2 separate regions of the Mus musculus genome follow, and region 2 is reported to be linked to region 1. The links are microRNA targets in miRTarBase. Many come from high-throughput screens and were not tested one by one. Region 1 holds a microRNA gene; the other region holds the end of a gene's coding sequence.

Region 1 (3,000 bases):
CCACCAAGGAGGAGTCTGAAAGGCTGCATGGGCCCAGGATTTCTGGCTGAATCCTGTGTGAATGGTAGTTTCTGTCCTTTTAATTTTTTAAATTAATCTACCTTTTACACTCTGAGGGTCAAAACCCAGGTCATATGCATGCACTAGACATACATCCTGAGCTACCTGAGTACCAACTTTTAAATCTTAGCCCCTGAGGTTTTTGTTTCCACGCCATCACTTCCCAAACATGTAAACATGGTCCCCTCCACCCTCCCACAGACTCTTGGCTCAGGCCCAGGCCCTACTAACCTGCTCTTCTCTCTCATGGTTAGAACCATAGCACACTACCTTCCCACCAGGAGTACTGAGGGAATGGTGGAGAGGAGCAACAGGTACAACTGACCTTGAGATTGTCCGGGTGCTTGTGTGTCCACGCCAGAAGCATGGCAGCGAAGAGGTCCCCGGTGCCCACGAAGACAGCTTCCACTTTGCGCATCTCCATCCGGATGCGCTGGGTCACCGTGGAGCCGTCAGGTTTCCCTGGGGGAGGACATAAGCCAGGTCACTGGGTCTGAGACTTCTCAGTCAGACACTGGTCACCCCTACAGTAAGAACCTGTTGCCTGGTGTGGTGGCACACGCCTTTAATCCCAGCACTCGGGAGGCAGAGGCAGGCGGATTTCTGAGTTTGAGGCCAGCCTGGTCTACAAAGTGAGTTCCAGGACAGCCAGGGCTACAGAGAAACCCTGTCTCAAAAAAAAAAAAAAAAAAAAAAGAGATCGAGAAGAACCTATCAGCCCAACTTGTCCCCACATCTCTTAAGTGACAGGAAGGTCAGCACTGCCCATCCTTCAGATGGTCACACAGATGTGGTGTGGCGTGTGGCATCCTTCAGTAGTTCTGGGACTCGTGTGGACTATCATAACCAACCCCCAAATGCCTCCACTGTCCCAAAGGAGAGAGTCCCTAGAAGATGACGTCAGCATGGTGTTGAACACTCAGTGTGCCAGGAACTGCCTGGATGCATTGCCTGTCTGTATCTACATGCATGTGTGCAGCACACAAGCATTCAGATACACAACCCTAGACCCTTGTGCATCCAGAATGCTCACTGGAGCCAGTGGGTGTGAACTTGGGGTTCCTGAGAGCCAGTGGCTCAGCTCTGTGCATTGTAATATTGTTCAAACAATTAATTAAGGTGCTGCTTGTATACGAAGTCACCACAGCCCAACAGATATCTACACCCTCTGGCCACCTAGGCCACAGAAGCCAGATGCAGCTGGCCTCTGGAATAGAGGCCACAGGCCCACAGTAGGGGAGCTCACCAGACATGAGAACTTGCCAATTCAGGCACAGGAAGTGGGGGTGGGTGAGTCTGCTTATGTCCCCAGCACCCCATCCAGCCCCACCAGGCTCCACAGAGCCCTGTCCTGAGCCCGCCTTCTGTCTGTCTGACTCTCCTGGGGGACAAGAGCAACCAGCCCCTTGCTGACCCAGTATGAGCTTCTTCCTATTGAGCCCCAAACATCCTCTGAGGCCTGAATGCCATGGGCTACGTAAACAATGGGCCCAGGAGCATGCAGGAGCAGGTGGGACAGGCACTTACGCATCCTCTGGCTACCCAGCGCGATCAGGTAGTCGCTGCCCTGTGAGGAGGGCAGGTCAGAGCTGGTGATGACCACAGTGTCGGGACCCATACAGTGCAGCATGTCCATCACCTGCCAGCACAAGGGAGAGTGTCAGCATCCACACACTGGGGCTCTCCCTGACAGGCAAGCTTCCCAAGGGGACAGGCCCCTGTAGGTCACTGTCCTCTCTGCAATTAGAGATGGAGCAGCCAGGCATGACCAGCATGCTTGATGGGCTTCCAGAGACCCTGGAACTTTGCAGACACATGGCCAAGCCAGTGCCCAGCCATTGGGAGTGACACCATTGGGAGTTGAGAGTGTACAATGAGGAAGTGAGGGGGTCGCACCCCAACTCCTGAGGACCTAGGAAGCTAGTCATACCCACCAATGAGGAGAAAGCTTCCCTCTGAGCTGGCTTGTATTGTTTTGTTTGTTTATTTATTTATTGATTGAGACAGGATCATACTATACAGTCCTGGCTGATCTGAACTTGTATGTAGACCACGCTGGTCTTGAACTCAAAGAGAGGTCACTGCATCTTTCTTTTAAATGCTGTGAGCCATGACACGAGGCTCAAGCGGGTTTAAACCTGATGGATACCCTAGTCTGTATCGCCATCCTCAGAGGGCACACTCTTGGGTGCCTATACAAGCGGATCAAGGTGTGGACTTAGCCACTGTCCACTCAGCGGGAAATGACATACATGGACTTATATACTACACACACTGAACTCTCTAGGGTCACAGAGGGTGGAAAGGATGGTTTCAGTGGTATATGGAGCTGCTTGGGTGTGTCACTGAAGATCCCCATCAAGAGGCTGGAGGGATGGATCAGCACTTAAGAGCACTAGCTGCTCTCACAGAGGACTCAGCGTCAGTTACTAACACCACCATGGTGGCTCTCAACTGTCCTTAACTCCAATTCCAAGGGATCTGATACCCTCTTCTGGCTCTGAGGATACAAGACATACACATGGTACACACATACACATGCAGGAAAACTCACAGAAGCTACAAATAGATAAGTCTTTAAAAATGGAAGATGCCTTTTAATCCCAGCACTTGGGAGGCAGAGGCAGGCAGATTTCAGAGTTCGAGGACAGCCTGGTCTACAAAGTGAGTTCCAGGACAGTCAGGACTTTACAGAGAAACCCTGTCTTGAAAACCAAACTAAACCAAACCAAACCAAACCAAACCAAACCAAACCAAACCAACAAACAAACAAACAAAAAATAGAAGATGCCTATCAGCCCTGGACACATGTAGCTCCCAGGCCCAGTGAGTCCCTTCTGGGTGGCTCCTTCCTGCCAACTGCTTGTTTCTGGGTAGGATGGTGTGATTTGAAGCTAACCAGAACAGTGTTGGGACATGATGGTGACTCAGGTGGCTGGC
Region 2 (3,000 bases), not on the chromosome of region 1:
ACACACACACACACACACACACACACACACACACACACACACACACACACACACACACTCTCTCTCTCTCTCTCTCTCTCTCTCTCTCTCTCTCTCTCTCCTTGGATTACTGCAAGCCTGATTAACTCCTGAGTTCAGAGAAAGTTGGTTCCAGGAGCTTAGACACTTTCTTCTTTCAGTTTTGAGACTCCATGTCTGAAGATTAAAGAAAAAGAAGCAACCAAGCTCTAACTAGCTGACTGGTTCAGAGGCGTCAGCTAACCCTGAGAGCACTCTTAGGCAGATAATACAGAATACAGGTATGTCTTCCTACTAAAGTTTGAGGTAAGATAGAACGTCAATAGAACGTGTGATGCTAAATATCAGGGAGGAAGGATTTAGAAAGACTTGCAGAGCCCCTTTAAGGATTTGCTGCAAAGTCAATCCTTAAATATATCAAGACAGAGACAAAAATCACCAGGTAGCAGGTGGGACAGTGTAGGCACTCACAGGCCCAGGCAGTTTGTGATCCTATATAACAGGAAGACTTGCTAGGACAATACTATAGTAAGAGAATCAAAAGGCACAAACCCAGGACTTTTCAACCTTTGAGTTGTATTTTAGTCTGATAAAACATAATCTTTATTGCTAGAGAGTTAGTATGTCTAGACTATATCCGATTGCTGTGGTGCCTTTCATGAATCTGAACCTCTCCAGACATTAAGGGCAAAGTTACCAGAAACTCAAATGCCCTACCAGCTGTTCTATCTGGAGGCACAGCAGCAAGTTCATTGCCATTGTAAAGTCTCCGTGTAATAAACTATAGCAGTAGATGTAAAAGTCTGCCTCCAACTTTTAGGTGGACTCCTGGCCCAAGGAACTCTCTTAGGCAAACTTACAAAACTGTAGAGAGCATTCCAACTTGCTTAGGTGTACACACACACACACACACACACACACACACACTCTCTTCTTTACTTTTTTTTGGGGGGGTTGGGGGGTTTACAGGGAATTGCTTGGAATGAAGATTCAAGAAAACTCCACATCTCCGCCATAAACTGAACCCACTGTTCTAGTTACTGACATTCCTAAGTTTGTAAAACAGAACGTACACTTGCTAACTAGGCGCTTGAAGGCAGAGTGGAAGGCGTTACCTTGTTCTAAGAGAATATATATGCAGGCCACATAGAATTCAGTTAGCACTGTTTAATTAACTAACCATCTTTCTTGTCTTCCACAGCAATAAAAGGCAAACAGGCAAGGATCTTTTACAAACCTCTCTCTTTTCCTTTAAGGTCACTGTACTGTATGAAACAGGCGAGGATCTTTTACAAACCTCTTTCTTTTCCTTTGAACACAAGTCACTGCACTGTATGAAACAGGCAAGCATCTTTTACAAACCTCTTTTCCTTTACTGTATGGAGTACATGGTTCTTTAGGAGTCCAAGAACTCCTATTTAGCCACTTCAATCCCTCCTCTTCTACATTTCAACACAAGTTAAAATGCCTGCATCTTGGTACTGTGAGAGTAAAAACCCAGCCCTGTTTGAGCCACACAGCAAGGTCCTCAGTGGTAGAGCATGTATAAGACCTAGAATGCATGAGGCCCTAGGTTCAATTCCCAGTGTTGTACTCCAATATTTGCCTAAGTGACTAGACACCATGCATAACTTTTCTGTACCATGAACACTATATCCTGGACTTGGTCCATGGACAGAAAAACTAGGGCTCTATTGATCCATTCTTCAATGAATGGAAATACTCATTGCAGGGGTACTTAGAACTTAACTTTTAGGTGTTGCTACACATAAGCAAGTTGCTCAAACACTGCAAAGATAAGTCACAAGTAACTGCAACTATCACAAATTAATATTTATTTATATACTATTTCTATATCCACAATGAAAATTGCCATTTCTGTTTTGCTTATAAAAATATTTTTTAGTCCTAATTTCTTTCTTTTCTCACTATTATTTTAAATATGTCCTAACATTTTTTATATGACATTTATTATATGTGAACATATTTGTATGTACATAGGCATGTGCCACAGTGTATGTGCAATCAGAGAACGACTTTGTGAATTAGTTCTGCCCTCATACCAAGGGAATCACAGGGGTCAAACTCAGGCCATCGGGCCCCAGGAAGTGAGCCATCTCCTAAGCCCTGTTTGCCTTATTTTGAAGGCAAAAGGGAAAGCTTAACTAGCGAAATATATTTTGTAATCATGAATGAGAAAACCTAAAATTCCGTAATATCTAAATTACTTTATGTAAGAAATAATTTGGGGCAAGCATTCTTATGAAATAAATTTAGAGATCTGTGAAAAGATTATGTAAATATTCCCTAAATTCACATAAAAAAAGAAAAACAAGCAATATATTTTATAACTCTTTGAAAGAGACTTATTTAAAATGCAAGTTTAAATAACATGTTAGTTAAAAACAAAACCAAAAATTTTGACAGAACGCTTGCAAAGAGGCAGCAAGTATCAAATCAATCATCAAATGTAATTTTTTTCCCCTGAAACACAGCGATTTTGGACTGCTGCTCCTTCCGCCTCCTGCTCGCTTCCCAGGACGGATGCAGAGGTGCCTGCATCGTCTGCTTCACACTCTCAAAGCCTCTGTATGCACTCTTTGTAAACTGCTTCTTGACTGGGGGTTCATTTTCTGGAAAATCTGGGAAGAGAAAGCAAAAACGACAAGTAACTATACCAGAGCAGAAAGAAAGCTTTCATTTCTTTACACTACGCATTCAAGGAAATCGTATTTTACTTAGACACAGTATCTCACCAATTAAAGCTGCATCCCAATAGAAGACAGCTTCGAATTAAGAACTTACACAAGTAGTTAATTTGCTAATTATTGTATGCAGGCTCTTGCCAATATGGGGAGACAAAACAAGCTACAGAAAACCAATAAAAACTGATACTGGTAGTGATACAACACCCCATTTCTACTTGTGTGGGTACACACATCAGGAATAATACTATTAGGAAATGACAATTTTTGTCCTCTC

The links. The annotated mature microRNA mmu-miR-6908-3p reads ACACUCUCCCUUGUGCUGGCAG and lies in region 1 at 1,700-1,721, opposite strand. An mRNA with a match to its seed (bases 2 to 7 or 8) in the 3' UTR can be bound and repressed. Matches are read on the target gene's strand: a 7mer-m8 pairs with bases 2 to 8, a 7mer-A1 pairs with bases 2 to 7 and ends in A, and an 8mer does both.
Region 2: miRTarBase lists Srfbp1 as a target of mmu-miR-6908-3p. The part of its 3' UTR that is shown has no 7-base or 8-base seed match.

Annotation. Positions count from the first base shown.
Region 1 is chr10:78,443,396-78,446,395 of GRCm38, forward strand. Mir6908 (microRNA 6908) reads right to left here and starts at 1,762; the gene lies at 1,700-1,762. Pdxk (pyridoxal (pyridoxine, vitamin B6) kinase) reads right to left here. Exons shown (of 11, transcript NM_172134.2): 8 at 1,588-1,699; 9 at 386-522.
Region 2 is chr18:52,490,104-52,493,103 of GRCm38, reverse strand. It overlaps Srfbp1 (serum response factor binding protein 1), which reads right to left. Exons shown (of 8, transcript NM_026040.4): 8 at 1,171-2,660. The coding sequence ends at 2,476. Among named protein-coding and RNA genes, the nearest start is that of Srfbp1, 26 kb to the right of the region's middle.